Caenorhabditis elegans: one gene and its partners. The protein of the gene in region 2 interacts with the protein of the main gene of each other region in a pairwise test. Each region holds a gene or a part of one and is shown on either strand. Other genes may lie near its edges.

Region 1 (4,914 bases), on a different chromosome or scaffold from region 2:
TGCACGTTTCTACTTGGAAGTTTTGGCTGAAAATTTTTGAAAAATTTATGAAATCTATAATAAAGTTACTATTTTAAAACTATTTTAAAACACATGGAAAAAAGTTTTTATAAAAAAAAAATTTTTTTCGAAAATTTTTTTTCGAAATTTTTTGCATATTTTTTTTAAACACTCAAACTCACAAACTAGCGTCGTAAAAATAAATAATCAACGATCCAATCGATAAAATGAACACCAAAAGTACCAGAAACCGTCCCGTCAGACTTTGTCCGGATATCAGCTCGCCAGCCCAGTCCTTGGCCTGAAAAATTTGTGAAATTTAGTTTTAAAAATAGGCCAACAAATAATGTGTGGTAATTCTCAACAGGTGTAGGCTACATCAAACTCACTCGGTTCTAGTTTTCAGGGGATAAAGTCCGGAGAAAAACGCTAAAACTACAAAAAACTTCATGTTTTGAAATGAAAATTGAGATTTTCGGAAATATAATTTAATTTAGAGAAATTTCATTGTGAAATTTGAATTTGTGACGTTTCCAGCTTCAATTTGACCCCCATATTGACTATGTTCCGATAAGTTTGAAAAATTGGGGGCGCGGCGCGGTCGCGTCGCGTGCGCAAATTTAGTTGTTAAGTTTCAGTGTGAAAAATGAGTTTTTGTAACTGAAATATTGATTTTCAAGTGCAAATAATATTTATTTATGAGTATTTATTTTGGTTTAACTAGGTTTTGACGAATTTCGCTTCAAAACCGCGACGCGACCGCAACGCAAGCACCAAAAATGAAACTGCTCGGAAACTAGTCAAAATAGGTGTTTAATGAAAGCTGACAATCAGAAGGTTGAAAATCACAATTTCAGACGTTGAAAATTCAGGAAAATTCCAAAATTTTAGAAATTTGGAAAACAATTATTTTTTTGAAATTTTTTTTTTGAAAACTCAAAACCAAACAAAGTCTAATATAACCACACACCTTTAGTTTCAGAGAACAATCCCATCCATATCTACCAAAAATGAAAATAGTCCCGAAAATAAAGTGTGAAAAAGTGTGGGCGGGTGGTGGAGAAGTGCAGCTCCACGTGGCCAAAAAGTGTGCAGAAAAAAATATGCAAAAATATAGAGAAAAATCGGGTTTTGCTGGTCATGCAAATTTCCACATTAACACGACTTAACATTTACGATAGGGAGAAAAGTGTGAAAATTTAGAAAATGCACCCCTGTGGGGACAAATCGGGGACATGGGTCACTTTGCGAGACTTCTAGTTGAAAAATTCGAATTCTCCGTAAAATTTGCGTTTCAACAACCCCCATATCGATCATATTTGAGAAATTGGTAATTTTGGCTTAATTCGGCCTCAAACGGCCTGAAACGGCCCGAAATCATTGCATATTTCAAATTTGTCTGAGCATAGGCAATATGGGTGTCAAAATTTTGGAAATTTCACGGAGTGTATGAATTTCCTGTTGAAAATGGTCCCGGAGTGTCCCATGTCCCAAAATTGTCCCCACAGGGGTTCATTTTTGTAAAAATTTTTTTTTTTTTTTTTTTAATTCAGCAAACTTCAAATAATAAAATAAATAATAAAAAAAAATGCGATAACTACAAAAGCAAAAAAAAAAACATTTCCTGAAAGTTTTCGGAAAAATAGAAAAAATGCGGGGTAAGGGGGAACATTTTCCACATTTTCCATAAAAATCAGTGAATTTTTCAGAAAACTTTTGGACTTGCCCTGCGGTCCCGAATACTTCTGTAAAGCTGCATCGCTAGAGAATCCTAAAAATAAGAACAAGCTCCGCCCACTTTTTTCGTGCATATTTTTTTCGGTTTTTTTTTTGAAATTTTTTTTGTTGAATTTCATAAATTTGAAAAAATGTAGAAAATTGAAAATAGACAAAACTTAACTTAAAATAAACAAAAATTAGGCGGGAATTTGAATTTTTTAGGTATTTTTTTAAATTTTTTTTGTTCAAAAACCCACTTCTGTCATCCATCCCAAGTGTTTTTCCTCTTGTTGCTTCAAAAACGGGTCGGTTTCACTTGGCGCGTGCTTCGACCCGTTCATATTTATTTGGACGGCTTCCGGAGCAGGTATGGGCTCCACAAACTCTTTTTCTCGGCGTTGACAGCACAGGTGTGTCACCACTCGCCATATTACGACCAATATCATTGAGGCGCAGAATGTGGTGATGCTGAAAATATTTTTGTTGGATTTGGAAGAGTGAGAGCTTTAAAATACGCCCCATATTGGATAGTTTTGGAGGCGTTTGAGATTTTGGGTGCAAAGCGGTCGCGTCGCGGTCGGAATTTTTTTAAAAACAAATTTTTAATATTGTCTATCTCTGACACTTTTAACTTGATACTTTGAGTTTGTGGCTTCATGAGCTTCAAAATACGCCCCATATTGGATAGTTTTGGAGGCGTTTGAGATTTTGGGTGCAAAGCGGTCGCGTCGCGGTTTCAAAGTTTCAATTTTGAGAACAGACCATTTTGGCCTGTTGAAAATGAACTATTTATGTTGGTTACGTCGCTAGCTTCAAAATAAGCCCCATATTGACTGGGTTTGGAGCATTTTGAGATTTTGGGTCACGCGGCGAGGTTGCGTCGCGGTCGCACCACTGTCAAAAGTGTTTACTCTTGCTTTGAATTAGTTCATTTTGAATTAATTTTCAATAATTTTTGAAGTTTTGTAGTTAATAAAGCCTAATTTTTCAAAATTTGACAATTTTAGTTTTCAACCGCGACGCGACCGCGCCGCGTCCGAAATTTAAAACTACATCAAATTATATCAAGATGGGGGTCAATTGAAAGCTGGCAACCTCAGAAATTCGAATTCACTAGTTTCAGCTCAATATTCCTTACCTGCTCAGTAAAAAACACCAATATTTGCGCTCCTCCAGGCACTTTCGATCTTCTTCAGTCATCTCCATGAATACTCGACTAAGGTTACAATTCATCGGGTATCCATATGGTTGATTGAAGCCCTTCGACTGCGAAGGCGAGTAAATCTCGCCCATCGTGTCGACGAAGGGTCCACCCGACGGCTTTCGGCGAGTCTGAAAATTTTTTGGAAATTTTTTTTTGTCTCAAAAAAAAAAAACTTTTCCCAAAAGCCCAAAGAAGTTTAAAAATCTCATAAAATATGCTCATTTTCTCACGAAGAAAAATGATGTCATCACCAGAAACTAGTGGTGGTGGGGACAAAAAGCGGAAAAAGTAGTGTGTAGAGTGAGAAAAGAATTAGGTCGGAGCAGCGAGGCCTTCCCTCCCGACGAATAAATGAACATAATGGACCAGTTAGGCTGGAGAAAATAGTAGAGACGTAGAGCGTGCCTAGACATATCTGTCATTTTTCCTGACAAACTCCCCGGAAATTTCACGTATCCCACGTATTTTTGACTGAAAATGTCCGGCTCTGGGGGACATGGTGCATCGAGAAAATCGGGAAATTTTGAAAATTTCTATCAATATTCGACTTTTAAACGCAATCTAGGAGTAAAAAGCCGCCTGAATTTGACTTCATAAATGGCTCAACTTCAATTTTAAAAAATGAGTTATTTGCCAAAAAGCCTAAAAAAAAAAGAACATGGTACATCGACCAAAAGCTCAATTTCCTCAAAACTCCAGATTTATAATAGGTATATTTTATATTCTGGTTTTTCGATGGTAAAATGCCACAGGGAGCCCCGCCATTATTCATCGAAAACCAGCAAAAAACTTGATGAATTGCTGTTCTGGAACACAAGTTTTGGAAAAAAATAAATAAATGAACAACAACTTTTTTTTTGCTTTTCAACAAAAAATTTTGGCGGGAATTTCAAATTTTTTGAGAACAACATTTTGGCGGGAAATTTGAATGTTCTGAGAATTAATGTTGGCAGGAAATTCAAATTTTAATAATTTATAATTTATAATTTTATAATTTAGGAAAAGGAATTAATGTCTGAGAAAATTGGTAGGAAATTCAATTTCACATTTTTTCAGAAAAATTTCGGCGGGAAATTCAAATTTTCCTAGAATTAATGTTGGCAGGAAATTCAAATTTTAATAGAATTAATTTTGGCAGGAAATTAAAATTTCTGAGGAACATTTTAGAGGAATGTTCAAATTTCCACAGAAAAACATTGGCGCAAAATTCAAATTTTCTTACAATTAGAAAAATTTTGGCGGAAAATTCAAATTTTTTGAGAAACATTTTGGTGGGAAATTTAAACTTTCTGAAAAAAATTTTTGGCGGGAAATTCAAATTTTCTCTGAAAAATTTTGGCGGTAAATTAAAATTTTTCTAGAACTAATTTTGGCTGGAAATTTGAATTTTCTCAGAAAAAGTTTGGCGGGGAAATTCAAATTTCCTTAGAATTAATTTTGGCGGGGAAATTCAATTTTTTTCAGAAAAATATTGGTGGGAAATTCAATTTTTGCAAACAAAAAAAAGTAGATCAAAATCTAAATTAAAAGTTGAAAATTTATGAGAATTAGAAAATTGAACACATAGTACTTAATGGGTTAGTGTATGGAGCTGGAGAACGTGTGTGTGTGTGTGAGTGTGCAAAAATATCAAGATATATGGAGGAAGGGGGAGAAAAGAAGAGTTACACTACACATTCTCCCCCCTCCTCTCTTCTCATCCCCCTCCTCAACCTTTCTCTGGCTCCCCCTCCCTCCCTGCACAGAGAGATGGATCAATACACCCCTCCGTCCGTCCGGCAATAGCAGAAGCTGCTGCTGCTGCTCGTGGTGCTCCGCGAGCCAGAAGAAGAAGCTGAAGCATTTGGAATGCGTAAGAGATGTGTGTCTGCGTCTCCAACGACCTCATTTTAGGAGGAGAAGCTGCCTGGAAAATTGGCGGAAAACGGGAGGGAAGGAACTTTTTTTGTTTTGGGAATATTCAATTTAACATGTTTAGGCTGGGGGAACTG
Region 2 (4,659 bases):
GGTTTGCCGATTTGCCGGAAATTTCAATTCAACAAAAATTCCCACAAAAAAAATTCTAGGTCATTTCCAGCCAGTGTGCAAACCACCCCTCTTGCAATAATGGAAGAGGAAAAAAATCCTAGGCCAGCACTACAACACCCACCCCTGTTCACATTAATGGCCCCCTCATAAAATAATAATATGTTTCTAATCGATTCGGGTGATCGGTTCGTAGTCGTCACCCATCCATCTCTCTTTCTCTTTCTTCTTCTTTTTCTTCTTCTCACTTCTAGTCCGCGCCGCGGCGACAAGAAGAAGAAGAAGAAACTGGCAAGAGAGAGAGAGAGCCCCACTTTACACTCTTGCTCCCTCTCCCTCTCTGTGTCCGGAGCACAAGAGCTCTCGCAGATGGGGAGCCGCAGCAGCAGCAGCGGCGACGGCGGTGGAGCAAGAACACAAAGTGCCCTCTGCCTTTTAGTCACCCTCTGTTGAGCACAACAACCACCGGGCTCCCCGTGGTCACTTTTCTGGAAATCCTCTTGAGACAGTTCTCTTGATACCATCTCCTTTCTCATTTTTCCCTCTCTTCCGGGTTTTGTTTTTACCCCACAGATTTGTTTTTTTTTGTTTTTTCTTATTGCCGAAAGTGTTCCACTTATATTCCATGCTCCTTTTTTTCTAAAAAAAATTGGTTTTGAACCAAGGAAAATTTAGATTTTTCAATCAAACTTTCAAAAAGAAAGCGGGTACAATACTCAAAGTTTAAAAGCGCATAGCCTATTTTGGGCAATGAAAAATTTTTTCCGCCTTTTTTTCTGATATAAAAAATAGATTAAATTTTTTTTTTTAAAGAAAGACATTTTGAAAGGTCGGCAAATTTTTTCTGTCAATAAATTGGGCGAATTGCCGATTTTTGGAAAATTGCCAATTTGCCGTTTACTTTTCAGATGTAGGAACATATGTAGGAACATTCACAGGAAAAATTTGCCGGTTTGCCAATTTGCCAGAAATTTCAATTCCGGCAAGTTTTTCCGATTTGTCGATTTGCCAGAAATTTTTTCCGATTTGCCAATTTGCCAGAAATTTCAATTCCGGCAATTTTTTCCAATTTTCCGATTTGCCGGAAATATTCAATTCCGACAATTTGCCAACTTGCCTGAAATTTTTAATTCCGGCAATTTTTTCCGATTTGCCGATTTGCCGGAAATTTTAAATTTCGGCAATTTTCTCCGTCTTGCCGGTTTACCGGCTGTTTTATAGTACCAAAAGTTTAAAGGCGCTTAGCCTATCCAGGGTCTTTTTTACCGGATTTCCTGATTTTTTTTAAATAAAAAAATTAATTCAAATATATTTTGGAAAATCTTGATAAAAATAGTTTGAAAAAAATTAAATTGATTTTTTTAATTTTTCGTTTTTTAAACTTCAGTTTTTGGCCAAAAAGCCTTCAAAATCATAAAGTGAATTTCGAATTTTGGGGATACAAATTCACTAATTTTTTAAAAAATATTTTGGGGCTTTGAAACAAAAATTTCAGACTTTTACCCGACTCTCATTCATTTTAATTCCTCCAATTTCTAACCGATTTCCTCCGTTTTTTTTTGATTTTTTGCTGAATTTCATACTTTTTCAATCAATTTTAATATGAAAATTCCAGGTAGGCGCGGCGGTCATCTTGCCAAGAAGATGGCGGCGTCATCGATGTCATCGTTGACGTCCTCATATCACACGACGGCAATGCCGTCCTCGAACTCTGTGGTCCCGCCGTTTGATGCTCGAAATTTGGAAATTAAGACAAAATCCATAGAGCAGACACTTATCCCGCTAGTTACTCAGGTAGGGAGTTATAAAGAATTTTTAATTTTTTTTTAATTGAAAAATGTCTTACGGGGCCTAGAAACCCCCGCAAAAAATTTTGTGAAAGTTATGACGTCACTAGTGACCTAAATTTTTTGTGACGTCACACATGACCTAAAAACTTTTACCGAACATCCTAAAAGATTCTACTTTGGCGCTGCAAAAAATGACATCACCCTTTCTTTGGGCGATTATCCATGTTCATTTCCGTCGTTTGACGGCCCATTTGGCACGATTTATTTATTTATTCGTTTATAGATCACCACACTCGTCAACTATAAAGAAAGTTACATGGCAAGTGGGAAGCCGAAATCTGAACGAGCAATGAGAGCAGCGTTGAAGGTTTGTTGGAAATTTTTTAATCTGAATCTGGAAAAAGTGAAATTTAAAAAAAAGAAGTTTTAATTGAAAATTGATCAATAAAAGTTGAGAAAACTAATTTTTCTTTTGTGTAATTTTTAGACAGAAAAATTCTGAAAATTATAAGAAGAAATTGAAGAATTTTCCCCGGAAAATGTTGAAAGATTCCTAAAAAAAATAACACAAAAATCGGAAATTCTGATCATTTCCTGGGAAAATTAAAATTTGAATTATTAACTAAACTATAGGCATTAAAAAACCTTTAAAAAATCTCTGAAATTTGTTTTAAAACAATTTCTGTGGAACATTAAAAAATCTCGAAAATTTGAAAATTGTAATTTTTTATCATAGAAACTTTTTTAAAAATATTGACCAAAATATTACGGCAAACACAAAATTTGGAGAATGCGTACTGTGCAACATATTTGACGCGCAAAATATCTCGTATCGAAAACTACAGTAATTATTTAAATGACTACTGTCGCGTTGGTGTCGATTTACGGGCTCAATTTCTAAAATAATAATAAATCAAAACTATTTATTTATCAATAGAATATATGGAATATCGCTCTCGTAATTCGGAAAGTAATTATTTTCGAAAATAGAACCCGTAAATCGACACAAGTGCTACAGTACTTATTTAAAGAACTACTGTAGTTTTCGCTACGAGATATTTTGCGCGTCAAATATGTTTCACAATACGCATTCTCAGAATTTTGTAAATGATAAGGTATCCTAATTTTATATTATAACAGTTTTCTAAACAAAATTTTTTAAATATCAATATTAGCATGGAACGGACAAACCCAGTTTGGATAGAATTTACAAATTTTTGTGGAAAATTTTAATTTTTTTAAACTTTTCCTGTTTTCAGATCGGAAGCGCCGTTGAGGCAGCAATCGAACGGTTTGTGTGTGTTGGAGAGACGATAGCCGACGAGAACGCGGATATTCAGCCGGAAATGTATGATGCGTGTACTGAAGCTCGGCTAGCTGGTAAATTTATTTTTTGATACAAAAAAGTCATTGTGAAAATCTGGGAAAACTGGTGGTTTTTGAAGAAAATTTTTAAAACTTCCAAAAAAACTGCCGATTAAAATTGAAACTCTGAAATTTCCAAAAAATTGTGCAAAACCATTTGCCGGTTTGCCGATTTGCCGGAAATTTCAATTCCGGCAATTTGCCAATTTGCCGGAAAAAAATCGTTTGCCGCCCACCCCCTTATGAGAACTACGGATTAAGATAAAATAGCTTATAGACCCCCTTCTCTCAACTGAAACAAAGAAAGGCACCTCATTTCTTCACCCCGGCGGGGTGTCATATTACATGAAACACTCAATGGGTGTGATTATTCCATCGTCATCTATGTATACACGAAGAAAAAGAGCACAAATCCATGCTCACGTATCCAATTACCAGAGCCTCTCCATTTTTTTGCAAAGTGTGTGGGACCTTGTTTAGTCCGAGAGAGCTCTTACCTTTGATCTGTGGAAAGCCAAATTTCCTGCCAGTTTCTGAGATCAAATATAAAAATCCGATATTTTTCAGGTGCTTCAATGGCCAACCTATCATGTGCATGTAACGATGATCCCAACTCGGTGGTGGATAAAGCTGTGCTCGTCCGAGCCAGCAGGCAGCTCTTGAGCAGTGTCACCAGAGTCCTGCTACTCGCGGATCGGGTGCTTGTCAAGCAGGTTTTGAGGGCCGAGGATAAGGTGAGACAGATGAAAAATGTTAATTTTTCAAAATTTCCAAAAATTATTTGAAAATTTTCTGACAAATTTCATTCTGCAAAATCGACAAAATTCCTTAAAAAATAAAGATAAAAAATCTTGAAATTAAAAAAAAAATTAAGACAAAAATCCACCAAATATTGGCAAAAAATCACTAAAGAACCACAAAAATCTACCAAAAAATAGGAAAAATTATCAATAATTGCCAAAAAATTTTTTTTTAATTTGCGGAAAAAATTGTGAAAATTCAGCGAAAATAACTAAAAATTGACGAAAATTGTATGAAAATGTACAAAATTGCTCAAAAAATTGGCCAAAATTTACCGAAAAAATGGAAAAAAAACCGAAAAAAAATTACCAAAATTTACGGAAAAAAAAACCGAAAATTGGCCAAAAAACGTCAGAAATGTACAAAAATCTACAAAAAAAGTGAAGGAAATAATTCACCAAAAATTGCCAAAAAATAGTAGGACATTTTTCAAAAATTGGCAAAAAATGCCGAAAAATTGAAAAATTAATTGTCTAGAATAGTCAAAAAGAAAGCCAAACATTGGTTAAAACGACCAAAATTTACCAAAAAAAAAAAATTTCTAACAAATGGAAAAAAAAACTTACCAAAAAATGTCGAAAAAAGTTACAAAAATTACGAAAAAAAATGACAGAAATTTACAAAAGCCTACCACCAAATTTTTCGAAGTTTTATCAAATCTTTTTTTTTTAATTACAAAAAAAAT
Region 3 (5,038 bases), on a different chromosome or scaffold from region 2:
TCTATAAAAAAAACCGAAGCCCGGCAGGACTGGACGTTCACAGGATATTGCTCTTTTTCCCCCAACCCAAGTAGATCAAAACCCCTAATGTCCCTTTAACCTATTCCATACAAAATTAGGTCCAATCTCATAAAATTCCTTATTCATCACGTCAATTCCACCACTCAATCACCGTCTTCTTTATTTGAGAGCGGTTCCACCTCATTTCAGACGAAGAGGGCAGAGAAGACAATATATATATATATATATATATATAAAGAAATGAACACATAACATAGTACGACTACTGGAAAAATGAAACACAATTGTAGATTCAGGTTGCAGCAGCAGCAGCAGAAGAATAGGCATGGAAATGGCCAATTAGTACGGGATGGACCCCGATAGTGTGAGGGTGGACGGGGGAGACGCAGAGAAAACCAGTCATCGGGGGATACTGGGATTACCTTTTGCCGTGAAAAAAAGAGGATTGTACAGGCAACCGGGGGCAATCCCATTGTTATCCACCTAATCCTATTTGCCACCATTAAAATGCGCTTCGTGTTCCGAAGTGGGGGGGGGGGGGGGGGAATTCGAAACTTTTGAAACTTTTTAGAGTGGCCGATGATGGAGAAAATTCGGCCACCAATTTCAGGATTTTTATATGTTTTAGAACATTCAAAAAAATTGCTGAAACTGCCAAAAAATTTAATTTTATAAAAATTGATTTTTTTTCACACTTATTTATTTTTAAATTACCGAAATTTCAAAAAATTCCATTTTTTCAAACTTCATTACTTTCTAAATTTTTAGGATTTTTTAAACGAATTTTTAAAACAATACTCTGGAATTATTTATTTTTTTGGAATTTTTTTTTAATTTTTTTTTTTTATTTTCAAAAATTTTTCCGGTTTTTCAATTTTCACAGAATTTTTTTTTTAATTTTTAAATACATTAAACTTTTTCACGTGGTGTCCGAGTGTCTCATTTCGGTTTGATCTACATATTTCTACAAAAAAAGCGGGAGAAGAGACGCGAAGAGTTCTCAACTGATTTTGCATGGTTAAGAATGTGCTGACGTCACATTTTTTGGGCGAAAAATTCCCGCATTTTTGTAGATCAAGCCGTAATGGGGGGCAGCCTGGCACCACCACTTGTTTTTGAATTTCCAACACAATTTTAAAATATTTTGAAATAAATCAAAATCGATTCGGAATTTTTTTTTTTTGAATTAAAAAATTTGTTTCAAATAATCGATATCCTATTTTTCAATTCTCAGTACATTTTTAGCATACAAACGATAAAATTTAAGAAAAAAAAGTCAAAAACCAACCATTTCAGTCTTGAAAGTGGCTCCTCGGACCTTCGCTCCGTCATATTCCTGGCTCCGCCCACTTTCCACGTGCCAAATGCAACCGATCTGAAAGTTTAAAATTTTTTGGAACTATTTTTCAACTTTTAAGATGTTTTCTTTGGCTTCAAAATAGTACATTTTACATGTTTTTCTGCAAATTTCCCCATGCCGCAACCCTAAAAAACTAACCCTTTTGCCTTCATAAAACATATTGGATTGCGAAATACTCCAAACATGCCAACGTGGATTCGGAAAACTGTTTTTGTCGGAAAGTATCAGAGTTGGAAATGAGGAAAATACGTTAGAATATTATTATTTTGATTTTTCCAACAAAAAATATTTTTAAAAAAATCAGTTTTAAGAAAACTTGAAACGTTGGATTTCACGTCGAGAAATGAAAGAATTATAGGCATTTTATATAATAACAAAAAAGAAAATTAGTTTCGAGAACTGTCATGCCATTTGGGTGGCTAAATGGAAATTGGGAGAAATCGGGAGAGAACCTGAATTGGCAGTTTGCCTCCAACTGTATGTCTATAAGAAGGTATATGTCTACAAATTGTCTACCTACCTGCCTACAAGGTGACCTACGCCTACCTACAAGGCGGCCTGCGCCTACACATATTCCTGATTATATTCAGTGTTAGTTGAACAGATATTTGAAAAATAATATTTAATTGGAAAGTTGAGAAATGTGCAAAAACTAGGCGGTAGGTAGGAAGGCATAGGTAGGCCTGCGACATACGCCTACCTACAAGGCGGCTTGTACCTACACCTTGCCTACACTCTTGCCTACTTACAAATCATTCCTGATTATATTTAGTGTTAGTTGAACAGGTATTTAAACAAAACATTTAATTGGAAAGTTTACGAATGTTCAGAAACTAGGTGGTAGGCAGGCAGGCATGAACAGGCAGTATATACCTCATAGGCAGGCCTACACTCGTCCCTACTTCCTGGTCCCTTTTTTCTCACTGTTTCAGTGTTGAACATTCAAAAAATTACTTCAACTGAAAGGCAGGCATGAGGTAGGCACGTAGGCATGTAACAAAAAATTTTAAAGTTAGAATATTATTGTCATTAAACAAGTAATAGTTCTATATAATATCTTTTTCAATTTAAAAATTGTGCGATTTTTCGAAATATTGTTGATTTTGCCCGATTTGAGCACCATTACTACTTATACTACTAATATCTCAGCTCATTTTGAAAATATCAATAAACTTTTAATTACAAAAATATAGACAATTGTTAAATAAATCTTTTCTTAGTTGACAATTTTTTGATAAAACCAAAACCAACCGAGATATGAACCGGCAAAGTTAGGCTAATCGAACATATTTTCTACCTGAAAAAAAACTACCCAATTTCAAACCAGCAAATTTCCAAAATGGTTAGGAATATTAAAAAGCTGCCAACTGACGTATTTTTCAGAAATTTTTGGGCAACATTTTTAGTTGACAATTTTTTGTGAAAATTTGGAACAACCGAGATATCAGCCGGTAAAATTGAGCTAATTTTTATAAATTTTTAAAAATATTTAAATTTTGCCCAATTCTCACCTGTACTGCCGACGAGCATTGAGCGTTGCCGTCGAGCCCATCATATAGGCGTCAGGCATTTTGTGTGAGTCCCAGGCGTGTGTTTGTAGACGTCAATAGTTCAAATAATTCTGAAAATCATCATTGCAGAAAATTTTAAAAAAAACGAAGCGTATTGGGAGAAAAGGTGAATAGGGTAAAACGAGAGAGTGAATGAATAGAATGGAACGTAAATATATGAGAATAAGAAGAATGGGGCGAGAGAAAGTGTATGTATGAAGAAGCTGAAAGAGGTCACAATATTATGTAGTAGTAGTAGTACTATACCAGAATTTTTGGGTGGTGGCCGAAAAAACCAAAACTCGGCCACCATTTCAAATAGAGTCGGGGTAGGAAAATTTCAAAAATCCTATTATTCTAATAAGCTTGCTAATTTTTTCTGGCTTTTTTTTAAATAGAAATATAGAAAAATATCGGCTGGAGTTTAAATTTTCTGAGAAAAATTTTTGGCGGGAATTTTAATTTTCTGATAAAACCAATTTTGGCGGAAAATTCAAACGACTGGTTTATCTATATTTTTATATAAATTTTAAACAATAAAAATCGACTTAACAATGAGAAAAAGGCGAAGAAAGTGAGGGAAAAATAAATTTTTCAAAAAAAAAGTAAACTTGCGGGAAGAATCATAACTCGGGTCATTTTTTAGATATACAATTTTTTCAATCACAAATACAAAATACATATGAGTCCAAAATTGCATGCATTTTAGTACTCCTCATCTCAAAATCTAACTATAATAGTGGCGGTGGTCATCTCTTTCAAATATCACCCACCCCACTCGAAAGCCCTGGTAATGTGAGAAGCGCGCGAAATTCGAATCTCGCCAATCTGTGATGAGCTGAGACTATATAGTGATGGTGTGGCCGAGTTTTTCAAAAAGGGAGCAGTTTTGTATGTCAAATTTAGTAAAAAATTCCCGAAAACTAGGAACACGGCGGCGGAAGCAGTAAATGATATCGGAAAACGAACAAATAGTTCGTCTTCATCATCAATATGTGTGTGTGTGTGGTGGTGGCAAAATGACATATGTCAACATGGAAAGTGCTTGTTCTTCTCATAAAACTATCGAGACAAATGGCACATGGCGGTCGTGGTGCGGGTCGGCGATAAAAGATGTACCCTCAGGAAATTTGAGCGGAATTTATGCGACAAAGCTTGATAGAACAAGACGCATATGAAAATGAAAAAGTTAATAAAGCAGCCGACACCTCACGGGCGGTAGCGGGAGGTAGCGGGCGGTAGCGGGCGGTAGCGGGCGGTAGCGGGCGGTAGCGGGCGGTAGCGGGCGGTAGCGGGCGGTAGCGGGCGGTAGCGGGCGGTAGCGGGCGGTAGCGGGCGGTAGCGGGCGGTAGCGGGCGGTAGCGGGCGGTAGCGGGCGGTAGCGGGCGGTAGCGGGCGGTAGCGGGCGGTAGCGGTGCTGTAGCAGGGCGGTAGCGGTGCTGTAGCAGGCCGGTAGCGGGCATCAGCAGGCGGTGGCGGGCGGTAGCGGAGTTTTTGTAAAAGCCAGTAAAGTGTCCGCTGCAAATCGTGTTTTCCACGCTGCGGCCGACATCTCACGGGTACAGGGATATCCATAATTTGAACCACCTATTTCTCAGTAACCATGGGAGCTATCAAAAAATTGCCAACTAGCAAAATATTGCCTAAAAAATTGGAAAATTGGTTTCAATTTGCCAGTTAACAAGTTTTTCATAATTTTCAAAACTAAAGAGATATAAATGTTTCAATTGTTTCACCTAAAATCTCAAATTTTTGCCGTAAAACCGTCATAACTCTACTGGTTTTGACGATATAAAAAATTTATCAACTAACAATTTGTAGCCCAAACATTTTCCTACAATTTACTATTTAACAAATTTCTGCTCAAGTGCGTGTCCGCTGAGATACATCAGTTTTGCTTGGGGAGGCAAGGGGTGAACCTCGTAAAACCGGCGGGCGGGGAATAAAAGGGAAGAAACAGATGATAAGGTCATTGAGCATCTGCATGTGCAAGGTTGGATCAAATTTCTCGAGAAGGGGAAAAAGATCAAAAGATTTCGGAGAGTGTACTCCTTTTGGACAATAGTAAAAGCTCAACTCAAAATTGGATCATCCGTTTACGTCCTAG
Region 4 (7,876 bases), 1.1 Mb from region 2:
CTGATGGTTGGGGTCCCGTCTGGAAAAGGTTTTTGTTGTTTTGAAATCAAAAAATCGATAATTTAATTTTATTGATTTTTTGAAGGTTGAATTTTTCAGAAAAGCCGATATTGAATTTTTGATTTTTACTGAAGCTTAAAAAATCGACAGGTTTACACATTTTATCGGTTTTTATCGCCGGCGGAAAATCAATAATTTTATCGATTTTATCTCCGGCGGAAAATCAAAAACTCCAAAAACTTTGTTTTCTTAAAATATAAAAATTATCGATTTTTCGAATTTTTTGAAAATTATCAAGTATTTTTTCTAAATTTGGAGGAAAATATAACGATTGTTTTTGAATTCTGCAAAATTATCGATTTTTACATTGTTTATCTATAGAGCGCGTTAGCCACAGTAGGTATGACCTACATTCAACTGAGCCATTAAATGCTCCAATTGCATCATTAATTCTCTCCTCCTCTGTTGCATTTCAAACATTTTCTCTTCCAATTCCATTTTCCGGTCGCGGAGCCCGGCGAGCCCGTCATCGGAAGTTGTTTGGCTCTCCAGTCGAGCCATTTCCCGTACCATCATTGAATTTTCTTCTTCCAGTTGAGCAATAAGGGTCCGTTCGTCTCCGACCATTGAACTATTCATACTTCGACCGTTTGATAGGGGATACTGCAATTTATTGATTTTTAAAAAGAAAAATCGATAATCGATCAAATTTTATTAAATCAATAATTTGACTTTCTGCCGCCGGCGGAAAATCAATAATTTTATCGATTTTTTTGATTGCCGGCGGAAAATCAATAATTTAATCGAATTTTATCGCCGGCGGAAAATCAATAATTTTATTGATTTTTTTTGTTTGCCGTCGGAAAATCAAGATGTTTATCGATTTTTTTTATTGCCGGCGGAAAATCAAGATTTTTATCGATTTTTATTGCCGGCGGGAAATCAAGATTTTTATTGATTTTTTCCTGATTTTTTTCGATTAAAAACTCACATCAGCCCTTCCCGACAACTTTGCTGCATATCTCGCAATAAGCTTATGCTCATCATCAATAACTCCTCCATGCGACGCCTGTCCCGGCAGAAGTACCGGTGACGTCGGCCAGTCCGCTGATGACGTGGCAGCGTGTTGCCGGCGGATCGTCGTCGGTGTCGCCGGGACGATGTTGTTCAGGTTTAGCGGTCGAGCAGGTTTGCTGCTGACCGGGCCACCGATTTTTGCGTTAAAAATATCGATGTTTGCATCGCCGACGGTTGACGTGGCAGGAATACATTGGAGACTTTTGTGAATTGAGTGTACGAGCTGTTTTGTCGGCGATTTCTGAAATTACTAAGTTATTGATTTATTGATTTTGGAGTTGAGAACGCTTTTTTCCATAATTTTATCGATTTTTTTTTTGCCCGGCGGAAAATCAATAATTTCATCGATTTTTGATTGCCGGCGGAAAATCTACATTTTTATTGATTGTTTGTTGTCCAGCAATTGATAATTTCTCTGTTAACTAATCGTTTTTGTCGAATGAAAATCGATAACTTTATCGATTTTTTTGATTGCCGGCGGAAAATCAATAATTTTATCGATTCTTCATCGCCGGCGGAAAATCAATAATTTTATCGCGCGCTTTATAGATACATTTTCGTGTACTCCACGTGGAAAATCGATTTTTCAAAAAACTCACATAGCTGGAATATTCTTTCATCTCGTGCTCATTTGAATGATTTTGACTCGTCCTTCCCCGCCAAAAACAGCTTTGACACAACTGATAATTGGCGCATCGCTGACATTTATACCGAAATCCTGTGAAACTTCTGACTTGACACGCATCACACACCACCGGATGGTACACGTTGCTCACAGACGCCATTCGATGTAGCAAGGGGAGCCACATTATGCATGGGGGACATGGATCGCTGGAATATTAATTTTGTATGATTTTTTGATAATTTGACAGAACAGGTTTCAAAGTGTTGGTTGATAAATTTTCAAGAAAATTAACGCAGTGGCTATAGAGTTACACCATTTTGAAGATTCTAGGCCACGGTGAGAACTTCGGTCACCCCGTGGGGGGGGGGGGGGGACCCGTGACCCCATGACAACTAAAATTCGATTTTATTTGATAATTTGATAGAAATTGTTATATAAAGTGTTCTGATAAAGTTTCAAGAAAATCGGCGCAGTGGCTTTAGGGATGCACTGTTTGAAAGTTTCTAGGCCACGGCGAGGACTTCGGTGGCGGCGTGGGGACCCGTGACCCCATGAAAAGAAAAATTCGATTTTTTGATTTGGTTTCATTGAATAAGTTATAGATACAATTATTGCAGAATTAAAAAAAAATTTTTACAGTTTTTCAAAAGTTACACCGCTCTGAAAATCCTAGGCCACGGGGATGCCTTACGTGGCCGCGGGAGGACTTCAGCCCTACGTCTATTATTTTTTCTAATTTTTCAAAATGTTAGGTGTTTCAGAACTTCCAAGACACCTAAATTATTATTCTGGGTGAGTTGAGGGACTGGTTTTCCCCCCGATGGGAGAGGAAATGCATTTTCTCTTTCGCGCGTGGTGTCAGAGTGTCTCATTTCGGCGTGATCTACGTAGATCTACAAAAAATGCGGGAGAAGAGACGTAGAGTTCTCAACTGATTTCACATGATTAAGAACGTGCTGACGTCACATTTTTTGGGCGAAAAAATTCCCGCATTTTTTGTAGATCAAACCGTAATTGGACAACCTGGCACCACATGCTAACGTAGTTTTGTGTAAAAGGTTAATTTTTTCAAAACTTTTTCAAAACTTTTTCTAAAATCTATTTTTTTATTTATTTCCAAAATTGATATCTACCTCAAAAAAGTGTCCAGAAACACATTCAAAGATACTTTCTCATCCTTATGAAAGCACTGATTAACCGCGTTTTCGGAAAATCCAAACGTCGGTGCTTCGAAAACTGCAGTGGTTAGGGAGAGGATTTGTTGCAAAAAATCAGTAAATTTAATATGATCCATTAATCCATTCGAATCAGCGATTTGAGAGAAAATGTCTGAAATTTCAGATTTTTTTTTGAAATTCGCAAGCGCAACTCACATCTCAGCTTGTCCACCAATTTTCCAGCGCAGAGTGTTGCCAACGCGACTTTTATTGAAAAAACCGTCAAACGTCCGGTATTTTGTCTGAAAAATTGGCTTTTGAAGCGTGTGACGTCACTTCTAGGTAGCGGAATATCGGAGTGTCGTTGTGAGAATTACAGCCTAACTGCGCACGGGGTTTTGGCCTTCCTCATTGAATTTTTCGCGCTCCATTGATAATCGCCTGCCGGACGGGAAAGTCGTGTACTCCACACGGACAAATACATTTAGTTTTACAACTAAAATCGAGCCGCGACGCGACACGCAACGCGCCGTAAATCTACTGGCCTAGTTCGGCAAAAACTCTTCCATTTCAATTTATGAGGGAAGCCAGAAATCCGTGACTTTATCAAAAAAAAATTTTTTTGCAAAGTGTCCTTATATGAATAAAAATTCACTGGGAAATTTTAATTCCAGAGATATGAAACCCTGAGATTTTTTCTGCTCTTTCAGTCAATTTTCATTTTTGAAAAATCAAAACATTATGCTGAAAACAAAAAAAAACAGAAAAAATTTCGGATAGTTGAAATCTGTGGGAACCAAATTCCGGTGGAATGTGAAATTCCGCGGATCCGAAAACCGGAAATTTTCTTTCAGTTTTAGGATTTTAAATTTTTTCATATATTACCAAAATTTCTGTTATTTACAGAACATGTGTAGATTGAATCCCGTAGATTCCAATACGCGGAATCAAAATTCTTAGGGAATCTAGATTCTGGAGACACGAAAACCCGAATATTTTTCGTTATTTTTTGCAGTAAAAATTGGAATTCTAAATACACAGTTTTCACGCAGTAACACAAGAAAAAATTCTTAGAATTTCGAATTTGCCGAATCTAAATTCCTGGGGAATCTGGGTTCCGGGGATTCAGAAGCGTGAGTTTTTTGTCCGAGAGGAGTCCAAAACTCACTTATCATAAGCACCTAACAAAAACGCGAGTAGCAAAGAAATCGATACATCCGTGTCCACATGTTGTGACGCTACAAGTCTTTTATTCAAATTGTGGAATACTGTAGTTAGCAGAAGCTCGGCGCGTGACGTTTTGATCTGAAAATTTCCCCCACATTCTCAATAGAGCACACTTGCAACATACCACAGTATGTAGGGGTAATGCATTGAGTCCGTTTTCTCGAAAAGCTTCAATCATATTCCAAATATCTACCAAATGAACTTTCGTCTTTTGTTGAATAAATCGCAGTTTACAGGCGGCTCGATACGTGGCAAATCTGATGGAGTCGAAATCTTGGAGACCTGAAAATGCGCTCTATTGATGATTCAACTTTTTTTCTGAACTTTGGGCATTAACCAATGAAAGCCAATAATTTTTTTGCACTTTTTCGCAAAGAAGAATTATTTATAAGCTTCCCTTTCTCAAGAGGAGTAGCGGAAAAATTCATGAATTTTCAAAAAAAAACTCGGGTAGTTGATATCCACAAAATTCTTAGGGAATTTTCGATTCTGTAGAATTGGATACCGGAATTTTTAGGGTTTTTTTTTTGGATTTTTTTTGAAGGTATTTCCGTGTTTTTTCGACAACATTGAGCATTGAGAAAAAATGTTTTTAAAAAAGTCGGGTAGTTGATATCCGCGGAAACAAAATTCACGGGATTTTTATGCCGCGGAATTGGAAACTCGAGTTTTTTGTTCTTTTTGCGGCGAAATTTTTGCTTCCACTCGTTTGTTATTTTATCCAGACCCTGACTAATTTTCATAGAAAAAAATCCGAAAATTTTATTCCCCGAATGCCAAATTCCCTGGAATCTGGATTCCCGTGAAATTTCGATAATGGGGGATTTGAAAACGCGGAGTTTTTTGACATTTTTTGTTGTGTTAACTTGTAAATTTCATGAACATTTTGGAGAGTGTATCAACTTTGAGCATTTCGTATAAATTTTGTTTTAAAAAATCCAGTAAATTCAAATCCACAGAGTACTTAATTCCAGGGAACTCTAAATTCCGACGACTTAGAAACGTGGAAATTTTTCCGTTAATTTTTTACATAATAAGGTATTTTTTCTACTTTTTCTTTGAAAATTTCCGAAAATTCAAATCCACCGAAAAAAAATCCCAGAGAAAATAAAATTCCGGAGAATCAAAAACGCGGGAATTTTTTGCGTTTTTTAACCAATTTTTCCATGAAAAAATTGAAATTGGAATTGAGAAAAATGGTAAAAAATTTGGGTAGTTAATATCCACGGAAACAAAATTCCCGGGAATTTTTATTCCGCTAAATTGGAAACTCGAGATTTTTTGTCCTTTTTCGGCGAATTTTGAGTTTCCACGTAATTTTCACATTTTCTGCAAAAATTTATATTTAAAAACTCAGAAATCCAAATACGCGGAAGCGAAATTCCAGGGAAATTGGATTCCGTAGATTCAAAAACGTGAATTAAAAAAAAAATTTTTTTGCTGTGCTAACTTGAACATAAATTTGAAAAAAATTTTAAAGAAAAAAAATCCCGTAAATTCAAATCCACCGAGTACTTAATTCCAGGGAAATCTAAATTCCGAAGACTTAGAAACGTGGAGATTTTCCGTTAATTTTTTTTACATAGTTAGGTATTTTTTCTACTTTTTCTTTGAAAATCTCTAATGAAAAAAGATTTATTGAAAATTTCCGAAAATTCGAATCCACCGAAAAATAATCCCATAGAAGTTAAAATTCCGGAGAATCAAAAACGCGGGAATTTTTTAGCGTTTTTTAGCCAATTTTCCCGCAAAATTGAACACCCACGCATTTCATCAATCAATTGTTGCATTTCAGATGCCACAATTGGTGGTACAGAATGCATTGCACGATGATGGTCTGGTGATGGTGCACTGCTCGGCTCACGTGGTCCTCCTCCACCATTTGACCACAACATTTCAGGAGAAAAACCCAGAGTGTCTGAAATTTAAAATTTAAATTTTAAATCAATTTTAAAAAAATTTAAACCAAAACTCCACCCACAAAATGGCTGGCCAGAGCTAAAAAGTGGTAGGGTTTAAAACAAAGAAAATTGGGGGAGCTCTGGCTCCTAGTGGGCGGAGTCTAACTCTGGGAGAGAAGACATTTGGGGGGAGCCTAATGGGTTTTGCATGTATGCGCGCTGATTTGCTTGGCACATTACTAAGCCAATATGTTTCAGGGAACCAACGAGGTTGTCCACGAGGAGTACAAAAAATATTTTTGGGGAATTTCGACTCCGCGGGATTTTAAATCTCAGGATTGAGAGAAAAATAATAACGGTCACGTGGTATCAGGTTGTCCCATTACGGCTTGATCTACAAAAAATGCGGGAATGAGAAATCAGTTGAGAACTCTGCGTCTCTTCTTTTCCCTCATTTTTTGTAGATCTACGTAGATCAAACCGAAATGAGACACTCTGACACCACGCGCGTAAGAGAAAATGCATTTCCTCTCCCATTGACACCACTTGAATCCCGGTAAATCAAAATCCCAGGGAATTTCGATTCCGCGGATTTGAACTCCCGGGGGCGTTTTGTAGAAATTTGTTCAATAAGCGTTGAAATCCACGGAAACTTGATTCGCCGGAATTTTCGTTTCCGTGGATTTCAACTACCTTACGGTTTTTGAGCTAAAATTTTTTTAGGTTGAAATTCGCGGAAACTTGAATTCCGGAGAATTTTGATTCGGCAGAAATTGAATTTGTGAAAAAAGTTTTTTTTCTAATCGGGTAGTTGAAATCCCCCGAAACTGGAATTTCGCGTGTTTCAGGTTTTTAAGCGAAATAGGCCCAAACTTGTCCACGAGAACTACACAGAGTATTCAAAAAAAGTTCTTTAAAAAAAATATTTTCAAAAAATACAACAAAAAACTTGCTTTTTTCCACGCGGAGTACACAATTTAAAGCCTTTTTATCATTAGAGCGTGTTTGTATAAACAATTTATAAAAAAATTTCAATAGAGATTTCCACTAAAGAAAACTTCAAAATTCGGATTAAAAATTTGTCCAATAGAGCGCGATTGCATTGCAACAACATACGAATTTTCAGGTAATATTGCCATTAAAGCGCGATTGCAGCAATAATTTTTAGAAAAATGTTGAAAAAAAAGGGAAAATCGAGCCAAAAATACACGAATTAAAAATTAATTCGTGGTATACGCTTTTGCTCTCGGAGCACTCAAGGGAACACTGGAGAAAGTGAATTTAGGCAAACGTGAGTGAGAGAGAGAGACTTAGAGAAATAGAGAGTATTAGAGAAAGAGAGACACAAGACGGATCGATGTGCAAAAGGAGAGGAGGGGGGGGGGGGAGACGTATTGGCTCAGAGAGCAGCGGTGGGATGAATGTGAGCATACGGAGAAAGATGGAGAGAGAGAGAGAGAGAGAGAGAGAGAGAGAGAGAGAGAGTGCAGAGAAAAAGAGATAGGGGGCCCCCACTGAAACATTGGGACCCCTCACCCCATCCGTCTCAACTCAATGAGGTGTAAAAGTATACGCATTATACACAGGGATATTACGAAGTGGATGAGGAAGAGAAAATTAGTGGCCTAAGTTTTTGGATTTTCTAGGCCACGAAATGAAAGAAATTTTGGCTTAACGTGTGTTTGTTTCTCCACTTTCACAATTTTAAAAGGAGGCGGTTTTATGCGGAATGTTTTTTTTTGTTTAAAATTCGTGTAGATCAGGGGTGGGCGACAAATTAATTTGTCGACAAATTCGGCAAATCGGCAAACTGCTGGTATGCCGATTTGCCGGAAGTTTTCGATTCCGGCAATTTGCCGGTTTGCCGATTGCCGGGAAAAATCGTTTGC

The links.
Region 1: the proteins of ctn-1 (region 2) and slo-1 interact in a two-hybrid assay, tested with the Caenorhabditis elegans proteins (2 studies listed by BioGRID, with this or other methods).
Region 3: the proteins of ctn-1 (region 2) and ZK131.11 interact in a two-hybrid assay, tested with the Caenorhabditis elegans proteins (2 studies listed by BioGRID).
Region 4: the proteins of ctn-1 (region 2) and dyb-1 interact in a two-hybrid assay, tested with the Caenorhabditis elegans proteins (one study listed by BioGRID).

What each region holds. Positions count from the first base shown.
Region 1 is NC_003283.11:18,490,404-18,495,317, reverse strand, and holds the start of slo-1 (BK channel), read right to left. Parts: upstream 3,013-4,914; coding exon 2,858-3,012; intron 2,188-2,857; coding exon 1,977-2,187; intron 1,772-1,976; coding exon of another isoform or gene 1,727-1,771; intron 302-1,726; coding exon 183-301; intron 27-182; coding exon 1-26. UniProt on the Caenorhabditis elegans protein: Potassium channel activated by both membrane depolarization or increase in cytosolic Ca(2+) that mediates export of K(+). Its activation dampens the excitatory events that elevate the cytosolic Ca(2+) concentration and/or depolarize the cell membrane.
Region 2 is NC_003279.8:2,605,121-2,609,779, forward strand, and holds the start of ctn-1 (Alpha-catulin), read left to right. Parts: upstream 1-1,620; coding exon 1,621-1,812; intron 1,813-2,091; coding exon 2,092-2,175; intron 2,176-3,067; coding exon 3,068-3,188; intron 3,189-3,740; coding exon 3,741-3,907; intron 3,908-4,659. UniProt on the Caenorhabditis elegans protein: Required for slo-1 potassium ion channel clustering at presynaptic terminals and in egg-laying muscles; clustering of slo-1 mediates the intoxicating and sedatory effects of ethanol on worms.
Region 3 is NC_003280.10:13,790,193-13,795,230, reverse strand, and holds the start of ZK131.11 (TORC_N domain-containing protein), read right to left. Parts: upstream 3,003-5,038; 5' UTR 2,952-3,002; coding exon 2,893-2,951; intron 1,397-2,892; coding exon 1,310-1,396; intron 1-1,309.
Region 4 is NC_003279.8:1,481,211-1,489,086, reverse strand, and holds the start of dyb-1 (Dystrobrevin-1), read right to left. Parts: upstream 6,005-7,876; 5' UTR 5,982-6,004; coding exon 5,852-5,981; intron 4,369-5,851; coding exon 4,211-4,368; intron 4,165-4,210; coding exon 4,028-4,164; intron 3,234-4,027; exon of another isoform or gene 3,162-3,233; coding exon 3,076-3,161; intron 3,032-3,075; coding exon 2,836-3,031; intron 1,909-2,835; coding exon 1,677-1,908; intron 1,481-1,676; exon of another isoform or gene 1,460-1,480; intron 1,319-1,459; coding exon 992-1,318; intron 664-991; coding exon 412-663; intron 20-411; coding exon 1-19. UniProt on the Caenorhabditis elegans protein: Plays a role in cholinergic transmission and as a functional partner of dystrophin (dys-1), necessary for muscle maintenance. Required for localization of ctn-1 near dense bodies in muscle cells.